4 linked regions of the Astyanax mexicanus genome follow. The protein of the gene in region 1 interacts with the protein of each later gene in a pairwise test. Links are inferred from orthologs where the notes say so. Each region holds a gene or a part of one and is shown in the gene's direction. Other genes may lie near its edges.

Region 1 (7,912 bases):
GAGTAAAGCCAAAAATAATATTTTTTAAATGATTTAAGTTTGAAAAACATTATTAGACAGCTTTGACTCACTGAAGAAGGCTGCAGCTCTGCCTGGGCATTAATTAGTGTTTTTTATACAGCAGTTTTTGAGGGATGTGACTTTGCTTGCTGTACTGGTAGTAATTACACAGTGCAAAGATACTGCAGGTTAAAAATAATTTAAAAAATCATCTTAAACAAGCAGACTTATGGTCATAAAATATGCCTAGAAGCAGATAAAGGATCTGGAAAGTCTGCTACATACAGTGATTTCTTTTTATTGTACTTCTGCTTGAATTTAAAATTATTTCAAATATATATATTTGTCTTTAATATCTCAAATAAAAATGAAAAGACCAACATAAATGGATGTGAAGTCGTATCTGTCTTAGTTTCTAGGGGCTGAATGGTGTGTATATAGGTAGGAGAAATAGGCTTGGGCAAATATGTAACTAGTTATTAGATGCAGGAATTTTTCCTGTATTAATTTACTAGTAACAGAATGGCAACAGACTGTGCAATTCCTTAAGGTTTCTTAGGTCTGGTAAAATAAAATTAATATATTAAATCCACATTAATATATAGAATATGTCTACATTATATTACTATACTGTAGTGTCACCAGGGGTGGAATAACGAGGCCAAACGATAGTCCTATTTTTTTAGTATGATAGTTCTTTTTAAACAGCGATTCATCAGTGAAGACCCTTTTTCTCTCTCTAACCAAACATCAGAGTTGCTAACGTGTGCTTACAGCATGCTTACGCGGTGACTCTGGTCCGCTCGCGGGGGTCGCTAACCCAGTGTTAGCATAGCAGCATGCTAAGACACTGACTCTAGTCCGCTCATGGGGGATGCTAACTAACGTGGTGTTTCCATAACAGCATGCTAACGTGGTTACTTTGGTCCGCTCATGGGGGTTGTTAACACTACTTTCTACTTCCTGCTACTACTAGCTACTTCCAAGAAATGGCTGTAAGCCAACACAGTTCATTGTAGCCACGTGTTTCTAAAAAAAAAAAAATCAAAATACAAAGATTCCTCACAACTCTTACCCATGCAGTTTTTTTTTATGAGACGGTATAGCTAGCCACCAGTTTAAAGGGGTATTATATCGGCGGTTTAATACTTGCCTATTTCCAAGAAATGGGTGTAAACTGTTTTATAAACATAATATATGAAATACAGTTGCCTCACGATTAAAATAAACAGTGACTGTGCTCGTTCCGTGTAATCCTTCTGTAGGACTTTGCATGATATTTTCTTCAGTATCTTGTAAAATGTGGGATCTTACAATATTTTTTTAGGTGTGCTTAGTCATGTCATGTTGACTTTACTTACAAATTTCTAAACAAAATAAACACAAATTTCGGGCTTTACTTGCTGTTTTAATTAAGCAAAGGGGAAAATCCTATAATTTTAAGTCTTTTCATTATAATGAGCAAAGATTTCTGGGCTTAAGTCTTGTTAACTTTACTTAAATGTATAAACAATAACTTAACCCATTATTAGGGATTTGGGGTTGGGTTATATGCCCAATAACTTCAACAAAGAAGAAAGAGGGCAACTACTAAATGTGCTGGGAGCTCCTTGAAAGCTCCTAAATCCTCACAACTCCAATGCCAACACTGCCACAATATTAGTACAGTAATATGGTTCTCTCTAAATGAAGAATAATAATTTATGTTCATTAGGTTAGCATTAGCAGTTTCCCACAGCTTTTGCATATTAACTGATTCTGTAGGTTTATTGATTTAAGAACATGACATTTTGCACAATTTTCTGTCATACCATCTATAATGAGGCTACATTATAGAAGGATAAGAGTGGAAAGTAAATGATTAACTGATTTATTCATTTACTATTTCACTCATAGGTTCCTTCATTTATATTACATTATGTGTCACAGTCTAAATGTCTGTCTTGATAAGATCAGGGCTGATAAAACTCTGATAGAGGACTTCATATCAATCAACAAAAGCAGTGTATTTATTCACATTCACTGTTTGCCCTTTAAAGATTAATACCTCTTTCTTTGATATGCACACTCACACATACTTCAAAAGTATTTTAAAACATTCCACTCAGATGAGAGTAAAGTACATGTTCCAGATATTAATTTAAGGGTATTTACATGCATCACAATTTTACCATGTTGAAATTAAAAATAAAATGTTGTAGCCCAAATTTAGGGCAATACAGCTCTGGGGGAAAACTTAGAGACAACGTCAGTTTCTGAATCAGTTTCTCTGATTTTGTTGTTTTATTCTATAAACTACAGACAACATTTCAAAATAAAAAATATTCTCATTAAGAGCATTAATTTGCAGAAAATGAGAAATGGCTGAAATAATAAAAAAATGCAGAGCTTTCAAACTTCAAATAATGTAAAGAAAACAAGTTTTTATTCATAAAGTTTAAGAGTTCAGAAATCAATATTTCGTGGAATAACCCTGAGTTTTAATCACAGTTTTCATGCATCTTGGCATGTTCTCCTGCACCAGTCTTACACGCTGCTTTTGGATAATTTTATGTCACTCCTGGTGCAAACATTCAAGCAGTTCATCTTGGTTTGATGGCTGTGATCATCCATCTTCCTCTTGATTATATTCCAGAGGTTTTCAATTTGGTAAAATGAAACAAACTCATCATTTTTAAGTGGTCTCTTATTTTTTTCTATAGCTGTATAATGTTAGGAAATCTGCAGTAATATATACATGAGAGCAGTCATGTTAAGTAAGTTTTTGACAATCTTTTCACTGACTGACGGAGGTCTGCAGTTTACAGAGATTTTCATCAAGCCTACAATGCAGCCATCTTTTACTCTTGCTTGTTTCTGGTCCTTTTTTCCTCAGTTGTCTGCTCAGTAAATGGAAAACATAATCAATTTAATTTAAATCAGGTTTAAACTGGTTAAAACAGCTTTAATTTTTATTTTGAGGAACTCCTTTAATGTCTTAGCAGTAGATGCGTCAAGTAACGAGGTACAAATACTTTGTTATCTTACTTAAGTAGAAATGGTTATCTATACATTTCCAACTCCGCTTTGGTTTATACTGTGATCCATCACACCTTAATGTCACGTCTTACTCCAGCAAGAACATAGCAGAGGTATGTAGCCTAGTATGAAGATGATCCGTGCAGAGACTCAAGAGAACTTAAGCAAAATGTCTCAACTAGGCTTCTTTAGTATAATTGAATATTTGAATAAAATGAATTCATTTTCAATGAGCCTAGTACATCCCTGCATTAACATTTTAATATAACATTTTAGAAAAAATAGGCTCCTGAGGTACAGCCTAAGCTTATGTTCTTAATGCCATTTTCCCCTTACTTTACTTTTACTTTTATACTTTAAGTAAATTTGAAACCTGTACTTTTACACTTTTACTTTAATTTCTGCAGAAGTATTTTAACCCCTGTTATATACACTTCTATCTGAGAAATGAATGTGAAGACTCTTAACAAAGTTGCTCTTCAGTATGTTTGGGATGATTATTTAGCTGCAGGATTAAGCACCGCCCAGTAAATTTGGAGACTTTTGTTAGAAATTGAGTCAAGTGTCAGTGCGCTACTGCCATCAGTGAAGATAAGTGCACCAGCATCTGTGGCAGCCGTGCAAAGCTTCAGTATGTCTTGACACCCACACCTTCATGGTTCACAGATAAGGTGGTATACCTTACAGCTGATTGGCAGCTCCACTTCCAACACATCAACTTTGAGAACTGACTGTTCACTTCCTGCCTAATAAATTCCAGCTCTTGACAGGTGCAATTATGATGGGATAATCAATGTTATTCACTGATTCACTCGTGTGGTTTTGTGTGTGTGTGTGTGCTGTTTAAAGGGTCACTGACACATGGGTAGGTGTATCTAGGCAATCAATAATTACCCTACACTGCAACTGGCAAATTTCCAAATTTCCGTAACCTAGATTAAAACAGAGCAACACAGTATCTGCCTTTTCTGTTCTAGACATTTTAAACATAAGCCACAGATCACTAAATCTCTAACAAGCCAAAAGCACTGGTGTAAAATTCCTTCATGAGCCAATAAGCAGCGCACTTACAATATCAGCAAACATCTATAGAAGCCTCTATGTACATAACCTTGGCTTAGCAGGCCAAACTTTTAATTTGATTTATGAAACAACCTTCATCATCACACTAACAGAGACTTATATATAAATATATATATATATATATATATATATATATATATATATATATAACCTCCATCCACTCTTTATCTCCTTGGAATGCCATAACCTAATATTTACCCAGGAGCAGTGTCCCCAAAGCTTTTTGGTTAATTATTAACTCGTGGTGACATTGCCAGGCTGCTGGTTAAACAACAGAAGAAAAAAAAAAAAAAGACAGAAAGAAAAGAGAGGAGATCAAATAAAACAACGATTTTTTTTATGGACTGAAGATGTGAAAGGCTAAGCAAGAAAGTGACAGGGAGGCACTGCAGATAGCTGCTCTGAGATGGCGGTTTGTCCTCAGCGGTCTTCAGCCATGAATGGGAGTGGCTGCACACCTGTCGGACCGGTTCGCGACACATGACTCCCAGGGACTTACACACTTCAACACACTCGTTCTCTGGAAAGCCTTTGAGCCTCTGAGAGAGATGGCTGAAGCCACGAACCCGGCCGCTACCTCTTTCCCAACGCCCACTATATCCTTACCGCTCGGGCTGGACGTTTTGAGAACGTACTCGGGGGCTCTGATATGCTTGGAGATCGTAAGTGTGTGTTAAATTTTAAATCTTGTGTAATGTTTGCATGTTTTTGATCAGTGTAAAATAGTCATGCTGAAGAAATGCCTGAATAGAAAAGAGCAGAATTGCTGAGCAATACTTAATAAAGTATATAAATGTTGCTTGTGGCACTACTATGGATTATTAAGAATGATTGATTAAGAATGGCTTTAGAGTAGCAAACACAACCTAAACCATTAATGCACCTAATTCATAATCAAATAGACTCAGATTGAGCAGTGATTTCATGCTGTGCAACTCTTTACTAAGTCATTTCAGGTTGAAGTGTGTATTTCAGGACACATCTCAACTTTTACACAGTGATTTCTTCTGATGGATGAATAGGCCTCTGATCAGATTACTAATAGAACATTTTGTACCTCTCCTGTTCCCTCCTGCTAGGTTTTCGGCGGGTTAGTATGGATCTTAGTGGCATCGTCCAATGTCCCCGTGCCTCTTCTGCAGGGCTGGGTGATGTTTGTGTCCGTAACCATGTTTGTGTGCTCCTCCGTGTACCTCGCCCTGTTTCTGCTGGGCTTTGCTGATAAAATCAACGCAGACTGGAATTTCATGGTGAGTATCTTTAACTCCTTCCTACATGGAGTGTTCATTTCCCTACTATACTGTTGGACACTGCTGGACTCCAGCTTACCTGACACAGAGAGGTGTCAGGTAACAAAATACAAATACTTTGTTACCTTACTTAAGTAGAAATGTTGATTATCTATACTTTACTGGAATAGTTATGTTTTTACTTCTTACATGTTTACACAATAATCTGAATTTTCTTCTCCTTACTTTTTAAATATAGCCTTGTTACTCTATTTAATTTCAGCTTGTTTTAATTCTGGCTTCTCATTGATAAAAAAAAAAAACCTTATCCAGATAAATCTCTTTATATTTAAAGACAGATACAGTGAATTTTATTGTGATTGGATGAGAAGAATAAACATATACCATTCCAACACTATTGGTTTATACACGATCCAGCACACCTACACACGTCACACCGTCACACTCCAGTAAGAACATAGCAGACGTATGTAGCTTAGTATGAAGATGATCCATGCCGAGACTCAAGAGAACTCGAGACAAATGTCCCAACTAAGCTTCTTCAATATATTTACATTGTACTAAAATACATTTATTTTCAGTGGGCAAATATGCAGATGAAAAAGTGAGCCTAGTGCATCCTAAAAATGTTAATATAACATTATACTCATTATGGATTTTAGATAAATGCTTCTGAAGGGGTGGGTAGTGCAAAAAATGCCCCTAAGGCATGGCCTAATCTTTCTGTTCTGTTAATCTGTTCTTAATGCCATTTTTTTAATTCTATTTTAAAACTCTAGTATCTATACTTCTACCAGAGTAATGAATGTGAATACTTTTCATACCTTTTGCAGGAAACATTATAAGGAAGTTTAGCAATGTTTTGAAAAGGTTCCAGAAAGGTTAGCCTGTAATGTCACAGAAATAATGTTCCAGGAACATTCTGAAAACATGAGACATGATAATGGTTTGCATTACAACATTTTTAGAACTTTCTTTATAACATTCCCAGTTAGATAAATATTAACATTATGGAAACTTTAAAAGTAACATTCTCAAAACTAACAAATTAAAACACTGACACAAGTGACAGTGCAGCAATGTTAATTAAAATGATGTTCTAATGATGTTAATTGTAACATTTAGAAAACATTCTACCAACCAATCATTGATATTTGGAATTCAATATTTAATATATGTACACAATAAACCATTACTACTATAGTACTATAGGCTTTCTAAGAAAGGAACTTCTAAATAGAGTATCACAGAAACACACCAGTCCAATAACATTGTGACGAATACCCATGATGGCACAGTTACTTGGAACTCATTCAAAACTGAGCAAACAAAAACTGATTCCCATTCAGTTAGCATGCTGTTGGCTGGGTTCCTTAAATCTGACAAAGAGCTCCGTCTGCAGTGAAACTAGAGTGGAAGTGGCCAAAAGGCGTGCCAGTCCTCAGTCCTGGCCCGGGTTCCAGCCCTGCTGCTGAGTAATGTCTGCTTTATGAGCATGATTAATGGTCACAGCTTAACAGTCCTGCACATATCTGTGTGTAACATGTCCTTCACATTATACTCATATTCCTTAATAATTAATTGCTGCAGAGATAAAGCACAGATTATTGCTGATATCCTGTTAATTAATTGCATTAATACAGAGTTGAGTTTTAATACACTGCCTGGCCACAAAAAAAGGTCACACTCTTTAATATTTCGTTGGACCGCCTTACGCTTTGATTGTGTCACACATTCACTATGGCATTGTTTCAATAAGCTTCTGCGATGTCACAAGATTTACTTCAATCCAGTGTTGCATTTTTTTTGCAATCATTTTTCACCAAAATCTTGCAGCATTGATAATGGTAGAGTCTGACTTCTGAACAAAGCCTTTTCCAGCACATCCCAAAGATTCTCAATAAAGTTTAGGTCTGGACTCTGTGGTGAACTCTCAATCCATGTGTGTAAATGATGATCTCATGCTCCCTGATTCACAATTCACAATTTCACAATTCCAGTCCCATGAATCCTGACATTTTGTCAGTATATTTTTATTGTTATCCTAAACGAAGGAGGAGATAAGAAAATGATGATGACAAGATCTGCCAGGAAACATGTACCAGGATCTCCCAATGAGCATTCGATTCCAGGTTATGTTCATATCAGAGAGAGAGAGAGCACTCTCAGTCAGAAACTTCACTCCTTCATTTCTCAACTGAAGGTACTGGAGTATACACCAGTGAGAGTTTTGTACAAGTGTACACTCTAAAAATATATATTATATCTATCTATATTTTTGGACTGGTTGTATGACGAAATATGTGTTAGTAAGTATTTCATGGGATTGTAAATGTGCCAATAATTTTACATTTTAGTTTTGAATATGGCAATATTTTTTTGGCCAGGCAGTATATAAATAAATTATTGAATTAATTAATATGTTAGGCTACCTATTAATATTCAGGTAATATTGCTTTTTAGAAGACCCCTTTAATTATATTTTGTGAGTATATTTTTATTGTTATCCTAAAAGAATGGATTAGAATCCTAATGAATGAATTAAAGAATAAAATGCACTT
Region 2 (8,553 bases), on another chromosome or scaffold:
AAACAAACACTCCTGCAGAGAAAAGGGAGTTGTGCCAGGGCTGATACTAATCTAAAACAGCGTCTTAACCCTTCTGTTGCTAGGGAGGAGCCCATAATCCCTCCTACTGCTTTCCTCCCTAATTAGTGAAGGGTATAAATTGAGTTAGAGGAACGCTTTAAGTCATCCTGATTAGTATGAACAACTGGCTGCACTCGCAAGGCTATCCTCAGGGATTTTATTAACAAACGAATCAAATTCAGTACGGACGGCCATATATTCAGAGATTCGAGTCGCATGTAGAATTTAAACACATTCCGATCCACCATTCAGAAAGCATGGACAACAGTTTGTCAAGCATTTATTGACAATTTCCTGCTACAGGGCTGAAGGCTCTTCTGAATAATGTGAATAATGGGGTCCAAACGAGGACATAGATTAAAGATTCATTATAAAGCGCTAGGCCTCACCACAGCTCCAAACATACTATCTGAAAATGATCACAGGCACACTATTGATCTCACTTCAATACTGGGTTGAGGAGGGGGGGCACGAGGTCATAGGGTCACATGCTAAATTTATTTATACTTGCCCTCATAGTGATCGGCCAGGTGCATGTCGCACAACGGGCATAGCAGTCACAGGACACTACTCGATTTAGGGGGATTTTGTGTGGACAAGCCGGGTGACGAATCAGCCCTGGATCTTTGAGATGGACCTAAAACAATGCCTTTGATTTAGGAGCCCTAAAGGGGAAGATGAGATGTGCCAGAGGTCACTTTTACAGCCAGGGAACAGAGGGGGGGTTGGGCTGGGCTGGGGCTCCCCAAAGCCTGCTGGTCGAGCTTCTGCCATCACCACGACCTCCCTGGTAATCAACTCAGGTTGCCAAGGCAACTAAGGTTGATAATTGCAGTGCAATGCATGCATGGAGTAAACTGGTCCAATACAAAGGAGGGGAAGTGCACACACCCTTAGCTCTAAACCCAGATTAAAGGGGTTACGCTCAAATGTGACACATAATTCAGTCGGGTGTCCTTTATAAAAAGACAGTTTTTTTTACAGGTTATCTTTAAACAAACCAAGACTATAAAGGATATGTTTATATTTAAGAACTATTCCATTATTTAAGCTGTCATAAGGTTAATATCAAAATGTACAAGACAGAGTGAAAAGTTAATTATAATTACACCTAGGGCTTTACAATATGGATGAAACTAATGTCACATTGACTCATTTTGGTTGATGCAATATCATCCTGATAACAATATGAAAAACTGCTAAGAAAGCCCACAAAAATGAATCTGTCTGTTCTTGTAATATACACTGTAACGTTAATGAATGTCACTCATTGAAATATGCTGTAAATAACGTAGTGAACACTGGAATATTAAAAATGTTTTTTTAATCATACAACCGTTACTTAAACATTTTATATCGTGATATATGAGGATACTGAATTATTGTCCAGCCCTAGTTACACTAACTTACAGTTTAAAACGTAAAGTAGCTAACTAGATATATAGTTAGGTAACTAGACATATAACCTAGCCAGGTTACACGGCTATCAAATATTTTCTAATATTATCGTAACGTTAGACACTAACCTAGCTAACCTACCTTTAAGATAGTTTATTAAAGAGTTTAGCTCACTCTCTGTAACCGTTTAATCCTCACACAGTTTTTAAAGAAGTCAGTAGCCAAATTCCCAGTAACGTATATGTGAACAGCGCTGAAAAGAGACGATTTGAAGACTGTATTCAACTGTCACTGATAAAAATCACAAAGCCAGCTAGCTGGTTTCTCAGGACTGGGAGTGAGCCAGGAAGCAAGCTAGCTAGCGGTTAGCTCGTGTGGTACAAACCCTAGGCTAGGTCAGCTAGCTAGCAACGTTACAATCAGCAGCGGTAGGCTAGTTAGCTTAGCATCTACCTAGCTGGCTAACCTTGCTAGCTAATGGTCTATAGCAGCTCATACTGGTCGAGGAAGACGACAATATTAAAAAGGTTGACCAAATATCCAATATAGCCAAATGTATTAAAGTTTTAATCATATTTTTACAGTATCCTGAGAACGTCCTGGGACCCTGCTAACGTTGACAAGCCCAAACTCAAAAGCTCCGTCCGTGTCGGGAGTAACTTTACCTGTTTGGTCGGGTCGTTCCTGCCGTGCTCCGAGGACAGGTGATGTCTCAGCAGCAAGGCCCGCTTGTAGTTTCGGCTGCCTTTCACCAGCTCGTCGCTGTTGTTAGTGGCAATGTTGTGACACCAAGAGCAAGACATGAGTCCCGACTCTCGATTAAATTTTAGCCAAGGAAACTCCTGCAGCCAGGAGGCTTGGAAAAGCGAGTGTTTCTGGAGCAGCGTCTGCGGTCTCATCTCTACCCAGGGCTTCCTGGCGCCCGCTTCTTCCCGGTCCCCGCCGCTCCCTGCTTCGCCTCGGTCTCGGTCGTCCTCGGAGCCGGTGGCAGCGCCGCTGCCCGCGCCGTCCTCGCTGTTAACGCCGTTGCCTGTCGTCCAGCTCTCGCCCTCCTCCCCCGCGACGTTCGCGTTAGCCGTCCAGCCGATGCTGTCAACGCCTTTACCGACTGTCCATCGACCCCCTTCCGGATCTTCCTCCTCCTCTGCCTCCGGCTCTGTGCTGTCGCTGACGGACCCCCCGCCCTCCACTTTCCCCGGCGACGGTCCTTTCGCTCCCAGATCCCTGTCCTCCTCCTGATCCGGCCTGTTCCCGTTTAAATGCCGATCTTGCCAGGCCTGGGCCTCCCAGCTGTTACCGTTGCTGCCTCGGACACCACTGGAGCCGGTCACGGCTGATCCACCTCCTCGGAAAGCCAGCGACCTGCGGTTTCGTTCTCCGGACATTTTTCCTCAATAAATTAGAACCTACTTTCCCAACGATCTTTATCAATATAATTTACTTTCAGCCCGGCGAAACACGATTACAAATAATCGTTGTTTAAAATGAAATATTCCGCATCGAAATGTTGTGTTTTTTCGCGCTTTGGCCTCCCGGGGAGAGTATGTAGGTTATGCGGAAATAAATAAGGGTTTTAAAGGCATAATGAATTTGAGGGTTTCTGGCTCCGTCCGCGCAGGCCCCGCAGAGGTCGAATGGCAACGACTTTCCCCACAATGCACCTCGCTTCGAGTGAGGGGGGTCGTGGGGCACTTAAAGGAGGATGGGTGGGGGGGTAACTAGAACAGCGAGGGGGGCATTTGTGTTCGCCGAGCGCACCCACAGCTCCCTCCCCGAGCACGCGTTTCATCTTTGGGAGTCGCTTGTCTTGAACTAATAAGTGTGTTGTCCGCCGGGGAGCGGCGTTACTGACTCACTGCGCCGTGTTTGTTTTTAACACAGAGGGAAGAAAAGCAAAGGACAGGTGAGGGGAGAAGCGAGCAGAGCGCAGGGCTTAGTGCACTGTGTTTATTCTTACAGGTAGTGACAGAGGGGACTTTTTGCTCCCTCCCCCTCCCCAAATAAATAAAAAAATAGTATATACTATATAAAAGTGACTTTTGAAAAAAGTGAATTATGAAAAAAGAACAATGCAACACGTACGCACAGCCTATGGATATGGATAAACAGGGGTATATATGTTTTAAAATACACGTCTTAATTAAATTTAAATGTAAAAAATATATAAAAAAATAAATAATTTGAAGTTATTTTGTCATAATACGTTTTATAGGCTGTTGTGGCAATTTGTATTTTACCTAGTCGTGTATGTAGAAATAAAAGTACGTATCTGTATAAATGAATAATTCCTGAATTAATTGTAAGCGCTAATAAATGTTTTTTGTGGAATTGAAACCGTCAGTTTAGTACTTGTTTAGTATGTCACCCAGCAGGTGTCGGGCTTTCCTCTATACAGCATCAGCTCGGTCACAGCTGCGGTTATTACAGAGCCACCGTGCCCACTGTAGGAGGGTACACACACTGATATATAGTTCCTAGTAAATCGAGTTTTTATTTAAATATCTAAAAACCATATATCCAACAAGTATGCTCTCTTAAACACTGTAACACATTATATATTAATATTAAAAACTGCACAGATTTTTGTTAAAACAGTATAAAAAGAGCAACGACATGCCATATTAATTTAAATTAATGGAATAAATGTATGCACACAATCACTCATTTATTGTTTTCTTCATTAATCAACTCATCCCCAACACTTCAAATCATCAAAAATGAGTGGAACAATGTGAAGTGCCAACTTAAAGTGTCTGGATGCACTTATTAGATTTTTTTTCAAACATTTGGAAATATTGCATATTTTATAACATATACAAATTGGTCTTTGCACGGGCCAAAATTAGAGTAAAAAAGGCAATGCCTGATCACCCAAGTTATGTAGTGATAATCAGAAATAGGCAACCTTCTTCTGTTGTTTAAATACACATTTGTGTTTATTATTTAGAATAACTATTTCTCTTGTCCCTCCTTGAACAATTTTAACACTTAAAATAATATTATTTTGAATCTTTTAAATGTGAGTGCAGCCACCCCCCTGGTCAGAGTTGTAAATTACTAATTAAGACAGGTTTGTACACTTGGCTTGTCACTCTATTACTGTACTTGTAAGCAGATGTTTAAGTGTCAGGTTGATGAAAGAACATGTAAGAGAGCTTGAATGATTGGGGCATTTCAGTGTTTTGCCTAAAGCCCCAAAAGTGACTATATCCACCCAGATCGACAGACAGATAGATTAGAAGACTCCTGAGGTCTGATGAAAGCAGCTTCCTCGACGATACGACGAACATAATTTTTCGAGCCTGAAGGTGAAAATAAAGAGTTTAAGCCTTTGTAACAAGATTATTTTCGTGCCGTAGCGCCACCTATCGACTCAAGTGCACTAAAATATATATGTGGGCTCACCACACCCTTTAAGAACACAGAGTTTAGACAGCTCTCTTTCGTTCTCTCGCTGTTTATCTCTGTTGCCCACTCTTGTCCTCTAACCGTTTTTGGGGTGTGGCAGCGGGAATTACCATTAATTTACCATTAAATACCAGAAACTTTTTAAAACCTTTTCTGAAAACGTGCAAATTAAAATGCAGATTAGTTAAACACTGCTGATAGCCCAAGTGACTTCTGCGTGCCTAAAAACAGTGCAATCAAGAAAATTTGAGATTCTACCTCCTGTCATTTTTTGCATCGTGTTTTCTCACAGAGCCCCCTGTGCACTCTTTAGAAGATTTTTTTCCCTCGGAATCAAGGGGTTGGATTTCATGATATGGAGTTTCAAAATGTGACGATAGATTTCCTGTAAGTTCGTGTGGCAAAAGTTCACGTTCATTAAAAACATTAATTGTTGCAATGCAAGCAGACAATAAACGTTTACTAATTATTATTATTATTATTATTATTATTATTATTATTATTATTATTGTTGTTGTTGTTAACCAAATTATTAATGTTTCTCATTTACTAGTTTGTTTTCCTTATTCAAAAAATGTCCATTGAACCGAAATTAATATTGCATTGTTCTCTATAGAGTAATGATCATTATAACCTGTAAATGTATGTGTGCATATTATTATTATTATTATTATTATTATTATTATTATTATTATTATTATTATTATTATTATTATTATTATTATTATTATTTGCACGCCGCACTGAGGTGTGTGTGACCACGTGCCCGTTTCTTTTTGTTTACATGCGTGCGTGCTCTGCGTGATGACGCCACGCGCGGCCCCACCTCAGCAGTTTGCAGCGCGTGAAGCTCCAAACTCCTCGCCTGGAGAAGAGAATCAGCGAAGAGGAGAAACCGGCTCCAACAGCAGCGCTTCACAGCAGCATGGAGGAATCAGAGCAGGGTAAGTTACAGAAAGTTGACTTGTGAAGATATTAATGCGCAGTTTATCCCGGGAGACACTGTTAAAACAGCTGTTATCTCCTGTTTCTGTCTGTCTGAAGTTAGCTGAGGTGGGCTAGCTAGGTCAGGTCGTAGCCATAACTGGCTAATGGACCCCTGTTGCTAAGTTTTCTGCTGGAGACTATAAAGAAAACATTATAGAAAGTGCATTTCTTCAGGACCTGTGAAATGTTCCTAGAAATGTGCCATGTTTTGTTAAAGTACGGAGCAATAACAAAGAAGGAAGTTTCAAAACTCTTTTTGTCTGTTTGACAAGATTTTTTAGATACTTCAGAGCAAATAACGCTTATCTTTTGCTGGATAGAGTTAGCATCACAGCTTAAAATACTTATTTTTTAAAAGATATGAAACGAATTGTTCACTTTTTGTTTAATAGTTTAATCATGTTTAATCAATTCACTGCAGCCTGCAACCATATGTTACGTCCGTTCTATTATTTCATAAGGGTCCTTTGGTAGCTAGCTTAGTTATTTTCTTTTATGAATTGACAAATTTGGCATATCATTCACGAAGTAATTAGTTTAACTAATGTCTGTTTTTTTAGCTTCATAACTGTTGTGCCTTATTTAGAAACGGTGCATTTAACTGGAACTACCACTGCAGATGTTCTAACATACATACAGTATGTGATCATAAAACTGTCATATGGTGTGTGTGTGTGTGTGTTTGTGTGTGTTTGTGTTTGTGTGTGTTTGTGTTTGTGTGTGTGTGTGTGTGTGTGTGTGTGTGTGTGTAACTGATGCTGTCTGAATTTTGTGTTAATCACTGAAGTATCTGAAAATCCAGTTTTGCAATAACAGGAGCTCAGACTGAGATTATCTCAAGGGATGGTTTGAATTGCCTCTTATGGGGTTTTCTTGTGTTAAAAGTCTCAGATTACATTACAGGCACCGATTCTGTTGCCACTAAGTGGTACAAATGTAACTTGGTTTGGGTTTGTGTAATCTGTATTTAATGATTAATATTTCTGATTTATTTCATAATTGATAATGTAAGGCAGTCATGGGCTGTCTAGAAGAGTAAGGACTTTTAGTAAGCCATTTAGATTAAAGATAATTTGCTTTTATTTTTGCATTTCCTGGGACCTTTCTCTCCTGCTGCTACTTTTATTATAAAATTGATCACATTCATTGCTGAATAATTGAATTTATGTCTGGTAAATGAAGTGCTGTGGCCTTCTGCTTTTGTGCCCTTTTGTTTATCCCTTTGAATACAGATTGTGTTTCCTGTTGAAAGTTGCATATTTCTGATGCTCTCTTATAGACAGAAATTCTGTTTCATATGATTGCAGTATCTCTGAATTTGTGGTTACAATATCCTTAACTGGGTGTCAGATTTAGGGAGAGCAATATAAAATAACAATAATAAGTATTTATACCACAAAAGATATTAATACTTAAATAACTCAGATTAACTGTCTGTTTAATTTAATAGTGTAATTAGTGTGGGAGGACATATTGATATTTTATGGGGGGGGGGGGGGGGTTGTAACAAAATTACAACCCTTAACCAACAGGCCCCACCTGAGGCCTACATGTAAGCCTAGCAGTGCATTTAGTCTGTTCACTAACTCAATATGTAGAACACAATCCAACTGTAGCCTGTATTGTTTTGAGGAACAGGTGGATGTTTCCTGTCTTGTTTGTTAGGCTGGATGATAAATGATCTTTCCTGGTGTGCTGATAATGCTGTCCTAAAGTGTTGCTTATGATAAATTATGAAATATGAAACTGTTTTATGGAGATAATTGTATTTTCAGCAGTTAGAATCATTACGTCACAGCAAGCATCATACTTGGTTCTCTTTTCACCTTTTTTCTGTCCCACTCTACTCTTCGCTCCTCAGGAGGCAGCTTATCATCATTCCTGTTAGGTGGCGGAGGTCCGGTGAGCAGCCAAAGCCCTCCTGTGAGGCTCTCATGCAGGGAAGCCATCTGTCCATTCCTTGTCTTTTTGCATACTCACATCTCCCTGCAGCTTCTGCCACAGGACCACAGAGTTATTTTTAGAGCAGACTGCAGGATGGAGGCTGAGACACCTATTAGTTGTCTGCTGTATAGGAGGTATTTAGGTATACATGTCACCATTGAGACATTTGCTCTAAAGGGAAGCTTGTGTTCATGGCTTGAACTGTTTGTAGAAAATAGCATATCCTATTATTGACTGTTATATCTATATCCTGCTGGTAATGCACAATATTTTTTGTCATAATGTTAAATATATAGAATATCTTTATATTTACTGTAAACTGTGCACTCAGGGTGCACAAGTTCATTAATGCAAGCACATTGCTGATATAGATGTGCAAATGATTCATGCACACAGCTTGTCTAGTCCCTGTAGGGAAATACTGCCATTACAATAGTACTCCTTGGAACATGTAAGCCCAAACAGATATGGCACCTTGTTTTGGGCTTGAGGGGTATAAAGCTCACCAGCATTGACCTGAGGAGCAGTGGATTGGTGTTTAATACCCCCTTATTAATAAACCATGAATAAGCATGTGTCCCGTTACTTTTGTCCATGTACTGTAGATACAGGACTGTTATATGGAATTGTCTGGGGCCAGAATGGGACAGTTGTTAATGCCAGTAATATTATGAGGCCACAAACATGTTCACAGGTGTTTAGTATTGTTTTTTTAAGTATGTTTAAGGCAAAGCAAAACACCCCTCTCTGTGTGTT
Region 3 (8,472 bases), on another chromosome or scaffold:
CTCGGATTTTGCTTTTTATAGGTATACAGTATGTTTGAGTAAAATGAACATTGTTCTTTTATTCTATAAACTACAGACAACATCTCTCCCAAATTCCAAAAAAAATATTGTCATTTAGAGCATTTATTTGCAGAAAATGAGAAATGGCTGAAATAACAAACAAAAAAAGATGCAGAGCTTTCAGACCTCAAATAATGCAAAGAAAATAAATTCATAAAGTTTTAAGAAATCAAAAAATATTTGGTGGAATAACCCTGATTTTTAATCACAGTTTTCATGCATCTTGGCATGTTCTCCTCCACCAGTCTTACACACTGCTTTTGGATGGCTTTATGCCTTTACTCCTGGTGAAATATTTAAGCAGTTCAGCTTGATTTGATGGCTTGTGATCATCCATCTTCCTCTTGATTATATTCTAGAAGTTTTCAGAGATTAAGAGATTTCATTTTTTTTAGATTTATGAAGACCAATAGCAGAGTGTTTTGATAATGAAAGCTTCCACTACTAAAGTAAATACTCATTACAAAAATGCTGACAGATTGTATTGTTCTTTCATACCACCTGGATTCAACATGCCTCAAACATCTACAATATTTATCTAAATCATATCTCTCTGGGATTTGGAGATGTAGAGCCCTCTCTGGTATGAATGTGTAATTGCAACAAAAAAAAAAAAAAAAAAGGAACAGTACTTTTAAAATGTGCATAGTGGTGCGGTCTCATAAAGAGCTCAGTCAAACGCTTAAAAAATAAGATTAGTCACATATTTTCTTTGTAAGACTGAATTGTTTAATAATGCATATTTAAATGTAAATAAAATAAAGGATGTAATATTGGTAACATTATATAACAATTGGTAACAATTATACTTACATAAGTCAATAATTTATTTTGTATTTTCAGGAGGGAGGGCTTTATCGTCATAGAGGAGCAGCTGAGTGTGTACAAGTGTGTCTGAGTGTGCGTGCAAGTGTGTGCTTTAGCTTTTTGTAACGTTACAAAGTTGTGCACAACAGCCAGAGTGCTTAATTTTTTTAAATCATCATTATGCTTTAATTTGGTCCTCTAGGTCAAATCTAACAAAATAAATGTGGTTTAAAAAATGTGGTAAAAAAATGCAAAATAAATTTCTCCTGAACATCACTGAATGCTCTTAAATACATTGTTTAAAATCTTTCAAAATTGTACTTTTTGTTACAGTCTTCCAACTATATAAAATTACATTTTATTCTCCTCAGTATTTACAACAGGGCTGTTGACTTCTGAGTTACTGGGGTACACTGGGATGCTCTCTTTAAGGGAGAACGCCCATAACTTCCCCCTACTTAAACACCACTCCTCGTCTTATTTTCATCATGTGAAAAAAAGAAGCCTGTTAAATGAATGAACACTGCAGTTGGAGATTTAAATGGGTCAGATTTTGCCAACAAGTATGTAAAATTTAGCTATGTTAATGAATTAATCTATTAAAAATATTTTCCAGTGCCTTAAATGTAATTAATGACCTGGAAAAACTTACAGGTAAAAGCTTAACATTTCGCTTTAAAAAAAAAAAATAAATAATATAGTGTATTTCTCTATGTTTGATTTTGGAATGTGTCAGGAAACCAGTGCACCAGGTTTTATTGTGATGTACCAGATACTTCCCATATTTTCAAGTCAGTAAATATATATTTTCTACAGTACTTACAGCCTTAAAAATAAGTAAAATTACATTTTCATATCCTCAGTATTTACAACATGACTGCTGAATAAGGCAGACTGTGAGGAATACACTGGGATGCTCTCTTTATTTTTATTATGTGAAAAAAAAAGCCTGGGAAGGGAATGAACACTGCAGTGGGAGACTTAAAGGAGTCAGATTTTGCCAAAACGTATGTAGAATTTAGCTATGTTAATGAAGAATTTAATCTATTAAACAGATTTTCCAGTGTCATAAAAGTAATAAATTACCTGAGAAACTTTACAGGGAAAGCTTGACATTTTGCTTTTGTAAAAAAAAAAAAAAGATCTGTAAAGGCTATGATTAAATTTAATATAGTGTATTTCTGTATGTTTTTTTTTCATGTGTACTTACAGTAGAATTTATATCAATCAGTTTCACTTGGCATGCGAACAGACATTATCGTCGTACTGATGTTATGCGGTACTCACAGTCTTCAAACTATATAAAATTACATTTTTATCTCCTCAGTATTTACAACATGGCTCCTGAATTAGGCAGACTGTGGGGAATACACTGGGATGCTCTCTTTAAGGGAGAACGCCCATAACTTCCCCCTACTTAAACACCACTCCTCGTCTTACCACTGAGCAAGCCACTCTATCAATAAATGCTAATCTCCTAATTAACAAGCTAATTAGGTAATTATGGCTTTGCAGAAGGATGCCTAAATGAAATATGACAACACAGTCACCGGTTTCTCAGACACCTGTGGGTCGTTTTTGGCTGTCATCGCAAAAAAAGAGCAATATCAATTTCAACAAATGACACACTTTCATGTACAGTGTGCAAAGGGCTGTGTGGGGGTGACAACCTGCTCACTCTTCAAAGACTTAATTGTTTTTGAAGAGACGAGCGTATTATGGTATAGGAGGAGTGGCTGTTTGTTTTGGAACTGCCAATTAAATCTGTCACAGGTTGAAGATTTTATCACTAATTGTAACACATTTACATGGAGAGGAAATGCATGATAATTAATCATGAATTTATTATGCATGGGTCTATCTATCTATCTATCTATCTATCTATCTATCTATCTATCTATCTATCTATCTATCTATCTATCTATCTATCTATCTATATAAATAGTATTCATATAGGCTACTATGGATGTGTTTAATGCTTAAAGTAAACTAACAACTAATTAAACCACATTTAAAAGCGACAAAAGAGAACATTTAATATTCTTCAGTTTGCAACAACAATCAGGTTTAACCTGAATTTTTTTAAAACATTGAAAAAAAATTCAGCATGCACCTTTCTTAATATCTCATTCAGAGTTATGGGATATCCGTACTTCATAATATCAAGCAGGCCCTCGTCATCATGTAAATATAATATTATGAAACAAAAAAAAAAAATCAAGCTTTATTTTCTTATTCGCAGAGATTTGCTGTCATGGTCTTGGAAATGAATTATGTTGACACATGGCTGGAAACAATAGTGAAAAGGCATGCAATGTAATGCAATGAAGAATCATGTGCTGCACCAGAGGAGAGGATGTGGAGCTGTTCCTTTGAGCCCTGTCTGACAGCTATGCAGTGCGACTTGACAGCTCAGTATTGCAATGATAAATGCAGTAGGTCTGGGACTCCCATTCACTAAACTCAGGAGTGTGTTGGGTTGATACTTCAAGGTCAAGTGAATAAGAACGAACAGAACCACACAGCTTGCTAAAGAGAGAGAGAGAGAGAGAGAGAGAGAGAGAGAGAGAGAGATGGTCTTGTTTGCGTTCATGCTTCTACATAATTCACTTCATCGTATTGTGGGTCATACAACATTTAATATTTAATAAAAAACAGGTTCATGCTTTCTTGATTCTACCTAAGATTTGCATAATTTTAGGACAATTTTAGATAGCTGTAATTCCCAGTGAATTAATAACTGGTTATGCTCGTTTTACATGTTTATTTAAAACATCAATAATTTATTTTTTATCTTAAATATTTACTGAAACACTGTAAGTAGTACATACACAACTCTAGCAAACTGTAGCAAACACATAGGTAATATAAATAATTCCTCACAATTTGAACATGTACATGTGGTGGCTATTGCAGCAGTGTTAACAAAAGCCATCTACTGCACTGTATATAAATTTTTCAGATTGAACACACAGCATATGTAAAATAAAAATAGCTGTTAAAATGGGAAGGGCGTTGTTGTTTAAATTTAATAATAATAATAATAATAATAATAATAATAATAATAATAATAATAATAATAATAATAATAATTTAACATTTTAATTACAGTGGCCAGACTCACCTGCTCTCTCACTCTTTGCAGATAACACAAAATGAAACATCAGACTTTTTCTTTTTCTATCCTCAATATCTTTCACAGTGCATACAGAGCGCTTTTGAGTGTAGTGGTGATAAAGTAATGAATACAAAACATGGCCTCTCAAGCTTCAGGCTTTCTTATATTTTCATTCGAGAGCCTTTTTTTGTTTATTTTATTCTCCTATGGTTTATCCCAGAGGAAGATTTGATTTTCCGCATATCTGATTCTTTGCTCTTTAATTACCCAGTGTTAATTCCCCTTGTTGAGTGTGTGTGTGATGAAGGCAGGCCTACAGGGCCTCGGAGTCGTAGCATGTGCCCAGAATCCCAGTTCTGAAGCACAGTTCTTTTTTTTTTGTTGTTTTTTTTTTTTTTTTAGGAATTTGCAGCATGGTGCTCTCACATGCTGCTGCATTAGGAGAGGTGTCTGATTGGCTTTCTAACTCCACCCAAATTAACAGTCTGCATGCCTCAGTCTTGGTAATTAGTCCCATCACAGCAGAGTCTGTCATGTCACAAGTGCAAGACTTGCTTTTTATTTGATATTTGTATGAACATTAAGACTGTTAAATAATGACTGAAATAATTGACTTAAATAAAATGACATAAAAAGTTTAATACAGTATGTGCAAGTGAGTTTGTTGCATTTTCTCATTACCTATACTTAAAAATTAATTGATCTGATTTTAGACGAAAAATACATTAACAGAATAAATATAAAAAGGTTTGTGTAATAGGAAACATCATGCACCTCATATTACAAATCTATATGGTGAATCCATACTATGGTTCTGTTCTGTTTGGTTCAATGTCTGAAGACAGTTCTTCTGGCAAAAAATCAGGAGCAACAACAGCAACAGGCCAAAACGTAGGACCCGTGTATTTGAAGACAGCAGGAAAAGTCACCGGGTGTTCTCGCAGGAAACCCAGCACAGCCCCATCGCACGCGCGCCAGCAGCAAGCGCGGAAACGTCACTGTATCTCCTCGTAGTCTGCTACCATAGCAACTGCAGAGGAGCACTGCGCAGCGCCGCCTGCTTGGGCAGTAGGTGTCACCCGTGGCAACGACCAATCAGAAGTTGCTGTTTCGCTGCACGGTCCTGAGCTCGGTGGGCGGGCGCTCGCTCGCAGCGGAGCGCTCCGATTGGACACTGTGCCGCTCACTCAAAGATAAGCGACGCCGCGATTGGCTCAAAGCGTTTTAGCTCCAATAGTATAAACATGTCCTCCACTCGGCTACCCTGCTAGGCAGGCTTGGTAGAGGCGGCCATACCGTGATACGGTGTGGAGAAACGAGGAGGCAGAGCAATCCATTATCAGTTTAGAATCAGGCAACATAAAACTTCGGGTATGTCTTTCGCGCGTTTTACTGCAAAATTCGTCTAGAATGTGACGCATCCGCTCTAAATGAGGCACGCGCAAAGTAGGACTTGAAGCTTTCTTTTTTCGGTGTTCTCCTTTCGTCATTATCATCACTAGTATCATTAGTAGCGCGCTGGCATTTTGTTTTCCAGGCTCTGGCGAGAAGTGACAATCCAGACCCCTCCTCTGCAGGGCGGAGCGTGCATTTTGATGTCGATTTTTATAGCGTTTTTTTCTGCTCAGCTTCAGCTCTGACACGTCCTCACTGAGTGAGTGGCATTGGCACATTGTCAATCGCTCACTACCGCTGCCATCAAACAACATAAAGCACACACAGCCCAAACGCGCGCCTCATAAATTTGAGCACGCTGATATTTTTGCGCATCGCTTCATGGCGTGTAATTAATTTTTTTCTTCCCCTACTCATCTTAAGAAAAACTTTTTCTACGTTTTATATTTTTTACTGTCACGTTTAGGCTAAAAGTGTTGCTTCTAGTGTCGGTTAATTTAGTTATTTTATTGCTCGTTCACATTTTCGGAAATTATTTGGAAAAGCAGTTATTTTGTGTTTTCTTTCTTCTTTCAAATATTGATCATCCATTCAGTTTGCTCTGCTGTTTTTACTCGGATATTTTTTGTTTGTTTGTTTCTGTCAGATTTCAGTGCGGATTCAAGCAAGTTTTGAAGAAGTGCGAACGGAGAAATTACATAAAGAAGAGACAAAATCAAGCCACCTGCAAGGAGCAACAACAGTTCAGTTTTTTTTATATTATTTTATTATTTTTATTATTTTTTTATTTTTTGCGAAGAGAAGAGAAAGTCAGTTTGGTTTGGAATGAAGACTCGGACAATATTCAACGGACGACTGCTGTCCTCTCACTGCTGAGCAAGTCAACATCTCTACGAGAGGCTGAGATTTCGCTAACGGACATTTCTACACGGATTTTTGTGAGAAAGTGAACAGCAGCAGTCCTCCCTCGCTGGTGGTGGTCGCGGTGCGTGCTGTTCACCTTGTTGCCACGAGCCCGCTTTACATCCAACGCTTCGGAGAGGAGACCAGCCCCGCAGATGCTCCTCGTGTAGTCACGCAGCCTTTTTGCATGCGCTCATTCCGCGTATCTCCAGCTTCCTCTGAGACTGAGTAAGAAGCGCATTGATCGGGTTGCGGCGGACTATGGACGAGCAGGCGCGGATCATGCAGACTCTCGGCGGGGTGAATTTGGCTGCGCACGCGGTGCAGGGAGGCATGGCACTGCCGCCTCCACATGGACACGACGGGACTGATGGAGACGGCAGGAAACAAGACATCGGTGACATTCTGCATCAGATCATGACCATAACCGACCAAAGTCTGGACGAGGCGCAAGCAAAGTTGGTGCATTTCTTTAAATTAATGAGCGTTTGAGTGATTTAAGTGTAGATCAAATCTAGTTTGGCTGTTTATAATACATAGAGCTTACACCGGCTTTACGTTATAGCTATTAGTTAGTAAACGTAGTAATGTGGGGAAGTTTTTTTAATCCCTGTAATGTTTTTTTTTAAATAGAACTCCAAACATCCAGGAAGAATTGTTCTTAGCTAACTTAAGTCTCTTAGCTAAGTCACCTGTCTCTATATGTGTAAAACATCCAGCAAAAAAATACAAATACACAAAGTACCCTGCCCTAAAGAATGTAATCTCTAAGACTAAGTGTTGTAATTTAAAAAATGCTTTAAACAGTAGAACAAGCAAAGGCATCCAAGAATGCACCATACACATTCTGTAGCTATTCTCTAAAACACTTGTGGGCATTTCATTAAAAGTTTCACAGACATCCCCCCTGTCCGGTAGCTGGACCATAGAGGCAGGCCTCACCGCTTGTAGCTCTGTCCTGTCCTGCCACTCTTATCATTTATTGCTGAGTGTGATAAATAAATAAGATCCAGTGACTAATATTAATTAGATAAAAATAATAATAATAACAATCTGAAATTGTGCAATAATAATAATATTAATAGTAACAAAGGCAACAAAGAGGCATTTAATAATAAAAGTGACAGTTACAGTGCATTTACTAGGCTATTTTGGTTTCAAATAGTAAACACATTAAGTACATTCAGTTTAGCACACAGTCAAGTGGGCTCACAATAAGTGAAGAAAATCGTTTAAAATAATTGAAGTGACTATATACCAATTTTGTGTCTTGTTCCAAACTGAAACAGGAAACACGGACTGAACTGCCACCGAATGAAGCCTGCCCTTTTCAGCGTGCTCTGCGAGATCAAAGAGAAAACAGGTAAGAGTGTAAATTCCGTACAAAAAGCTTCTCTTACACCGACATGCCTCAATTAATAAAAAAAGGAACCCTCGTGCCACTAAAAAACATCTCACCCCGCCATCTTTCCTATAGTTGTCTTGTTTTCCCTCGGCGTGGCTTTCTCTGCTCACCTCTGCGGCTCGGTCCCAAACCGCTGAGCGCAAAGCGCGCAGAACAGCGCCAGCCTGCAGCTGCCGGGAGCGCGAGCCCCGTCTCCAGCTGCCTCGTGCTTTTCGGTTGAGGCGCGCGCAGCCCTTTAGCCGTTTGTTTACTTTGCTTCAGACGCGCATTGTCCGGCCTGAGCCGCGCAGAGAGAGAGAGAGAGATTAAATATTGTTCACATTAAATAAGGCGCCAGACGGTTCCGCGTGCGCGTGTGTATTGTAGTATATACATATAGTTGTATATATATTTTTTCTCCAATGGCTGTTTGCTTAATTCTAATTACCCACATTTACATTGCGCCTGTGGAAATATGGTAATGAGGGCAGCGCGGTTCGTGTGGTTGTTAGTCTCATTATGTGGCCAATTTATTGGAAAATTATTGGCACTATTGGACATGCAGCTAAGTATTGACTCAGACACTCAGTGTTAACCGCTTCCTTTAACACTAAAGATCATTAAATCTGAGCCAACAGGAGTTTATAATGTATTTCTAAAAAAAAAAAATGTCATTTCTACTAGAATTTGAATTTTACATTAAACAGGAGTATTGTGAGAAACCTTTCCCACAGTCTACATAACTGACAGGCTACAAGTACTCACCTGACCAGTGTGAAAAAAAAATATATGTTTTGATAAATAA
Region 4 (7,462 bases), on another chromosome or scaffold:
ATGCTCCCTCCCAGCTAATGCCTGGCTTACTGCCTGATAAAAAAAATCTAGATTTTTTGACAGTGCATAACCTGTTATACAGTAAAAAAAAAAAAAAAAAAAAAAAAAAACAGACTGTGAGGGGTTTGTTTTTTCCAGTGTCCTTGTGGGATTCCTCCATGTACTTTAGTTTCCTTCCATATTCCCAAAACACATGGTAGTTGAGTTGGCTATGCTAAAATACCCCTGAGGTGTGAGTAAGTAAATGTGTGTGTGGTACCCTGCAATGAACTGGAGTAGACCTACCCACTCGATAGGGTACATTCCTGCCTTGACCTCAGTGATTGCCAGTAGGTACTGACTAGACTGGACCACCAAATAGCAACATGTTTTTGAACTGCGGTCATTCGACACCTCAACACAGTTGGGGGAGAACACTAATACCCCATTTACATGTGGCTCCTTCATGTGACTAGTATCCAAATAGATTCTGATAGGATTTGATTCACATGTATTTCCATTTGGTAGTCAAATGCATCTTCAGTCAGGCCGACTGAAATCTGATTGCTGCCGGTTATGGAATATGCAAATCTATTCATTGCACAGCGATTACAGTATAACTGGTGTTTCTGTTGTACTTGGAGAAATTTGGGTTGATGAATGTGTCTCAGAAATAGAGATGTGTTTAAACTGTTATAACGTGGCCCATATCTGGAGCCTATGACTTTTTTATGTTACTATTACAATGTATATTATTATTTTTGTATCCCACCATTGATAAACTGTTTGGCCAGTTTGGAAAGTATTTACATCAGAACTAAATCGGTTTATGCTGCCTTAAAAACATTTATGTGTCTGATGTCAGGTGGTGGTTCTAGGTAGCACCTTAATGAGGTTAAATGAGTATTCAGTGTGTTTACACCTTTTGTGTTTTTAGTCATTTAAAAATGTTCTCCATTGTAGATTAACATTAAAGTCCTCCAAACTATGAAGAAAATACATGGACTTATTTAGTAAACAAGTGTTAAACAAACCAGAATGTTATTTATATTTCAGATGATTTAACATAGGCACCTCTTGCTTCGATGACAGTTTTGCACATCTTGTTAATTACTTGAATTTCTTGTCCTCTTAATGTGTTTGAGAGTTGTGTTGTGAAGAGGTAGAGTTGGTATACAGTAAATAGCCCTGTGTGGGTAATGTTAAGAAATTAAGGATAATCACAAAGACCATTCATCAGGACTCTCATCAAAAAGACCAGGCATACCTGTCAAGTTTTAGATTTAAAAATAAGGGATATTTTCCTCTGTCCGCTTAAAGCCGTCCCACCAGCCCAACGAAGGTTCAGTATCCCTTACATGTTAAAACAGGTTTACAAAAAATCTAAAATAACCACATGTGAAACACTTACACTACAATTAGATTATCAGAATCTGAACATGTTGTGGACATTCCTACATATGTCATTCTTTTAATACAGCCAAATTAAAAACCCTTTTCTATATATTTTTTTTATTTAAGATTTCATGTCTTTTTTGTAATAAATGCACTCTTTTATATGATATATTTTTTATTTATTTAATGGATTTAAAATTGAACAAAGAGTGCACAAATTCTGCAAAATGACTGTTGGTGACCTAAAAATGGTATTATGAGCTTTTACTAAAAGGACATGGACCAGATATATTCCATCAGTAAAAATTAGTCCTAAGGGGCCTACGCAATAATTTTTAATTAATACTTCTTCCTTTTGATCACTCCACCCCTGATCAGTTCAGTTAATGTCGGTCCTCTCCACATTTCTAGTTAAACTGAGTCACAAGCTGTAATTTTTTTTATTTTAAAAGGTTTAATCTGTGTGTTTTATTTCGGAGTATTTTTAAGCAGCTATCAGAAAAATCTCATCACAGTTTCCATGATTAGACTACCGTTACCTTTCTTTTAGAAAAAAGCTGCCTGAACTCACAGCGAGGAGGGCGGGGCTTCCCCACACTGACCCTCCTTGCAAGCTGATTGGCTGTTTTTCCTGAAAGGCGGGACTTTTTCCTTGAACCGGCTCCACGATTGGTTAAGAGACACAGAGCGGTCAGTGCCCTGTATCCTCAATAATATATATTTTTTTATTTTAATAAAATACGGGAAATTTACGGGAAAATACTAATACGGGAGGACAGCGGGAAAGAGGAGTAAAATACGGTAGTTTCCCGGCCAAAACGGGAGACTTGACAGGTATGAAGACCAGGTGGATAAGTTCATTAGAGGTACCACAAATTAAACAGCACGTGTGATTAGAGTATTTTGGTTTGTTTAACCCTTTTAAGTTACTACATGATTCCTTATGTGCTCCTTCATAGTCTGGTTGACTTCAGTGTTCATTTACAATATAGGGGGGGAAAATGTAATACATTGAATGAGAAGGTGTCCAAACTTTTGAGTGGTACTGTTTGAGTGGTACCCTAACCCTAACCCTAACCCTAACCAAACATTTCTCTCCATTGTACTATTTGTGATTTCCATACATTAATGGGTTTTAAGAAATAGGGCTTGACAACAAACTAAACAAATTGAGAAAGATGGGAGAATGAAAGAACACTAATTACTTAGAGTACTGTTTTTGGCAAGACTTTAAAATAAAGGTACATCAATTAAAAGTACTTACAACAAGAATAAACATTGTTAAGTGGCTTAGTAATGTCTCGACTAATTATTAATAGACAGTAGTTAAGACATTATTAAATATTATAAAATGTTAATTCTGTAATGTTGTAAATAATAATAAATAAAGAAGTTCAAGTGTTAAATGATTAATAATGTCTTTATTAGTGTCAATTAAAAAATAATACTGTTTATTAATGTACAGTTATTGTAGAGGGGTACTCTTTAGAGGGGTGTCTTTTAAGTCTGTCCTTCTGAAGGAGTTTTATGTGTGGATTTTTCAGGATGTTGTCAGTGTGAAAACAAAGCAGTAAGGAGGAGCTCTGTGGTGGGCGGTGCTGGATCTGCCAATCATGTTGGTCTAAAGCATACAGACCCGCCCACACAGAGAGTCATCTCACTGTAACTTACCTTTTTATTGAACTGGGTGTTCTTTTTCTCACTTTGCTAATTTAAGACGAGTTAAATCTAGTTTTACATTAAAACATTATCTTACATTCTGCGCCCTATTGCTTTTTTGCACTCAGACTTTGGACAGAGAGAGAGAGAGTGTGTGTGTGTGTGTGTGTTTACAGCTGCAGTCTCTCTCAGTATGGCGGAGTGGTATTTTTATGAATGGAGCAGATAGAAAGAGAGAGAGAGAGGGAGAGCAGGAGGGAGGAAGAGGAGGAGGATTGAGCCAGGCTGCAGTGTCTGCGTGTGTCCGGCAGGGGGGAGTTTGAAGCTGGAGCTTTTTTTCTGAGCTCCATTTCCCAACTAAAGATAAAAGCCTGAAAACCGCAAATATGTATTGCTGCAGACTGGAGCACCTCCAAAGAGGAGGGGCTTGCCTCCAAATGGGAGGTCCACAGCTCCAAAGGGGAGGGGCTTACCTCCAAGTGGGAAGTCCACCGGCTCGAGACTGTGAGCGCGTTTGTGCGCGAGACCTCTCTCACCTTCCGTGATTATTATTATTACTATTATTCTATTACAAAGAATTTAATGTTATATAAATTGTACTATCACATTATATTATATTATATCATATTATTATATTAAAGTCTACATCGCAAGGCAGGGAGACCTCACCCAACACAGCTTCATTTTCTGCCGAATGCCACAAAAAAAGTCCTCCGTGATTAAAAGGCTCATGGATGTCAATAAATATTTTAGTCAACAATTAATGATTATTTATATTTCTTAAATGTCAAATAATATACGTGTAGTGTGTATGTATTTATAATATTATTGGCTATGAATAAACAACTGCCTTTATTATTTAGATCTTTACTATTTTATAATTTGACAAATTCACAGCATGGCAAATGTTTAAACGTTTTTAAATAAATAAAATGTGGTTGCAATGTGCACAACATGCTTTTAGACTCTTAGAAAATGCATTTTAAAAGAAAATAAACATTTAATAAACGAAATAGATTAATTAATTAACTTTTGGGGTTATTTACAAGCACAAAACGTCGTGAAAAACACCATACCGCCTAACACCAAGCACCATCCTACTTGGAGGTAGGCTCCACCTGTTTGGAGGTATGTTCCTCTCCTTTGGAGGTGCTCCAGGCTGCAGCTATACCCTTCTCGAAAACCGACGCGGGGCGTCCAGATGTGTTAGTAACTTTTATCCGCCTCAGAGTCGGAGGGACGCGGCCTGGCCTCGCCTGTAGCTCGCCGTGCTTCTGGTCGACTGTATCTGACCGCTGGGGAACAGGGGGAGATGAAGCCGAGCGCTCGGTCGGGCTAACACAACATTAGCTAGGCTAGCTGGAGATTTTTAGAGGTTCGCCAGCAAACGGTAACCTGGGTTGCTTATAGATAGTTAACTAGCTAGCTAATCCAGCGTTAGCTATAGCTGAGTAGCGTCGGGATGCTGGTGTGATTGGTTACCGCTTGGTTACCGTTTTTGTGCCGTTATGGCACGGAAGGTCGAGACTAACGTTAAGTTGCTGCTGCGCATCTGAATTCCAGCAGAATTTCGCTCTAACGCTAACTAGCTGTTAAGTAGCTCGTTACGACAGAATGCCAGGTCTCTTGCTCTTATAATGGCACCTATAAGCTAGCTAACTAAGTGCTATTTGTCTAGGTTAATTACCCAGCGTAACGTAGTGTATTTTTTCTTCTGTTTACCTCAAATCGGCTGTATGTCTCGCCAAACCCGATGGCTGAGTAGCTGCTGCCCTCAGTAACCAGGTCTAGTTCAGTCCAGCAGGTCTGAGTGAGATCTGGAGCTGCTGCTGCTGTCGCGGTTTAATTTCTCCTAATATCTACAGTCAGTCGTTTCCCTCTCGGACTTACTGACGGACCACTCAGGAGGAGAAAAAGAGAGAAGGTGCCTTAAATACTTAAATACCACAGAGGAAGAATGGCCGCCACTTTAACAGCAGAGGAAGAGCAGGTAAGTGGAAATAAAAATAGCGAGAGGCAGAAACACATTAACTGCTACAGCTGTCATTTTCTAAGGTCACAGAATATTTAACTAGCTAGCTAGCCTAGTTAACCTAACTAGTTAGCTGTCCAAGGTTATTTAATGTTAAACACAGGTCTAAGCGATAGAAACTAGTACAAATATAAACCCTCTGTGGCATGAATTTTTATTTAATCTAAAGGAACAAATGAAACACTGCTTAATAAGAAGTCTGACTGCATAATGTGTCCTGATGCAAAAAATAAAAAACACTTTAATCTAAACAAATAAATGAACAAATGTTAATACCTCAAAACATTTTACATGTTGATGCATTTAAACATATTTTATCATTTTATCTTAGATTAATTTAAATTTAAACATGTTAAAGCATTATATTCATCTTCTCAACTACTAGCATTGCGTCCCAAAACCAAACCCACCTCTAGAGAGAATGTCCAAATTGTTCCCCCGCATTTTATTTATGTAGTTAGGCTTGTCTTGTGATATATTAAAAGAAAGAACATTAAAATTAAAGAGTTTGTGTAATCACAAAAAACTGAGGGCAACACCAAGCCATAGAGGGTTAACATAAGCACAATATTTAAAGATATGTTCTCAGTACAAAATATTTATTACAGTACATTCTGACATGCAGGTATAATAAGCTAACTTGTTAACCTACACAGGAGTGGCGGATATTATGGAGTGGCTGAATAATACCTGGTCTTCCTACAGCTGACTAATACAGTAATTTATATTCAAAATGTGCTTGATGTTATCAAGTTAAACAGAATTAATGACACACTTTGTACTGAAATGTGCTCTTAGTGTTAATCTTAGTGTTGAAATCTATGTTCTCCTATCCATTGAGCTCAGAAAAGTTAAGTTGAATGTGTTCATAGACACTCAACAGCATGCTCCTAGTAAGGCAATGTGAATCACCAGGAATAAGGTCATGTCCATGTATTATATGATAAATCAACATATTTTTCATATTTATTGTGACACACTTTCACACATGTACTTCTACACATCTGACAGTAGTGAAACCACTCACCTAGCTATTTGAGGTTTTAAGACAGCTCAGACCTCACCCTGTGTGAGTTAAGAGAGAATGTGCTGCGTTTGTTTGTGTGTGTGTGTTTGGTGCATGAGAGGTCGGTGAACACCAGGAATCAGGGCTAGATTTCACAATATTTCCACGAAAAGAAAAGAAAGTTTCAGTTTTCACTGTCGGACTAAAATCTTCCAGCCTGAAGGACACGTCCCTGCGTTTAGGCTGGAGGTTCAGTTTGTTGGGTTAAGAGATGTAGTTCTATTTTAAACAATTTTGAGTCTGAAGGTTTATATATAAGATTTCAGGGGAACCTGTGGTTCTGTGACCCTCAGTGTGTGTCTCCCTGAATAAGAAGGAGCAAAAATACAAGATTAAAGTGAAAATAAGTGAGAGTCATGCCTCTGTGCTATTAGTCCCACCAGTAAACGGTCAGTGTTTCCATAAAAAAAGAGGGCCTCAAACAGGAAATGGCCATTATATAATCCTCGCCTGTTATTTACAGTGCGTTATAAAGGAGAAAAACACCACCACATGCAATAGAGCTGCCAAAAATGCTCAATGCTTCTATAGTACTTTGGGTTGAGCTCTAGGTCAATAAAAATGTGGTAAATGAGCCTGTCTTTGCACTTTCCGCTTACTGGCGACTTGTTCAGGAACCTGTTCTGAAGGCTTAAAGAAGGATCAGTGGTCCTGTACCTGAACAAAGCTCTTCTGTCATTTTCTTTCCTGCTTTTGCAGCTCATTTGAATGAGGCCCAGCCTTATCGACCATCTCTTAGACTCCCTCAGCTCACCTCACTGGGAGAGAAACAAAGCTGCGCTGTTATCTTTCGTCCCTACAGTGTCTGTCTGCCAGCCAGTTAGTTTGTGAATGAAGCTCTCTCTTCACTCCAGGGACCTGCATCCACTTTGCCATCTCAGGAGAGGTGCAAGGCAGTGGGCCTTATCTGGGATGTTGCTTTTCTGTGTGTGTGTGTGTGTGTGTTTGGGAGTAATTACATCTCAGGCTGGACATGTCCGGAGCTCAGTGGGCCCGGAGGGACTGGCAGCCCAGCAGCTCGGTCGTTCTCTGAGGCAGCTGCTAAAAGCATTTCCACTGAATGAGGGCTCTGCTCTGCTGCAGGACTCTCACGGGGGTGGGAAGTGGTGGGGCGGGGGTATCTCCCAGGAAGCATCAGGGCGGGGGTTGGGTGGGTGAGTGTGAGAAAGCAAGTGACAGAGGAGTGAAAGACAGAGGCAGGCATGGATGGAGCTGATGACGCACGGCTCTTCCTGTTCAGCATCGACTGATGCCAAAATAGACAGGAGTGACAACCTGAATGTGGCACAGGGGCTGTCTGTCTCTGTTTTTGCACTTAATGACATGGACCT

Evidence for each region.
Region 2: the proteins of mal2 (region 1) and tpd52 interact in a two-hybrid assay, tested with the Homo sapiens proteins (2 studies listed by BioGRID and IntAct). The link is inferred for Astyanax mexicanus from reciprocal best matches to the Homo sapiens genes MAL2 and TPD52.
Region 3: the proteins of mal2 (region 1) and pbx3b interact in a two-hybrid assay, tested with the Homo sapiens proteins (2 studies listed by BioGRID). The two-hybrid records come from large-scale screens. The link is inferred for Astyanax mexicanus from reciprocal best matches to the Homo sapiens genes MAL2 and PBX3.
Region 4: the proteins of mal2 (region 1) and ptpn9a interact in binary tests that used the Homo sapiens proteins (3 or more experiments, as listed by UniProt). The two-hybrid records come from large-scale screens. The link is inferred for Astyanax mexicanus from reciprocal best matches to the Homo sapiens genes MAL2 and PTPN9.

The regions. Positions count from the first base shown.
Region 1 is NC_064413.1:15,461,505-15,469,416, forward strand, and holds the start of mal2 (protein MAL2), read left to right. Parts: upstream 1-4,398; 5' UTR 4,399-4,541; coding exon 4,542-4,763; intron 4,764-5,180; coding exon 5,181-5,351; intron 5,352-7,912. UniProt on the Homo sapiens protein: Member of the machinery of polarized transport. Required for the indirect transcytotic route at the step of the egress of the transcytosing cargo from perinuclear endosomes in order for it to travel to the apical surface via a raft-dependent pathway.
Region 2 is NC_064410.1:44,215,806-44,224,358, reverse strand, and holds the start of tpd52 (tumor protein D52), read left to right. Parts: upstream 1-5,179; 5' UTR 5,180-5,221; coding exon 5,222-5,253; intron 5,254-5,697; coding exon 5,698-5,810; intron 5,811-8,553. Other genes in the region: zbtb10 (zinc finger and BTB domain-containing protein 10), read right to left, coding at 2,124-2,843.
Region 3 is NC_064419.1:16,525,081-16,533,552, forward strand, and holds the start of pbx3b (pre-B-cell leukemia transcription factor 3b), read left to right. Parts: upstream 1-5,244; 5' UTR 5,245-5,356; exon of another isoform or gene 5,357-6,026; 5' UTR 6,027-6,544; coding exon 6,545-6,741; intron 6,742-7,566; coding exon 7,567-7,646; intron 7,647-8,472. UniProt on the Homo sapiens protein: Transcriptional activator that binds the sequence 5'-ATCAATCAA-3'.
Region 4 is NC_064409.1:42,591,417-42,598,878, reverse strand, and holds the start of ptpn9a (tyrosine-protein phosphatase non-receptor type 9), read left to right. Parts: upstream 1-4,194; 5' UTR 4,195-4,990; coding exon 4,991-5,023; intron 5,024-7,462. UniProt on the Homo sapiens protein: Protein-tyrosine phosphatase that could participate in the transfer of hydrophobic ligands or in functions of the Golgi apparatus.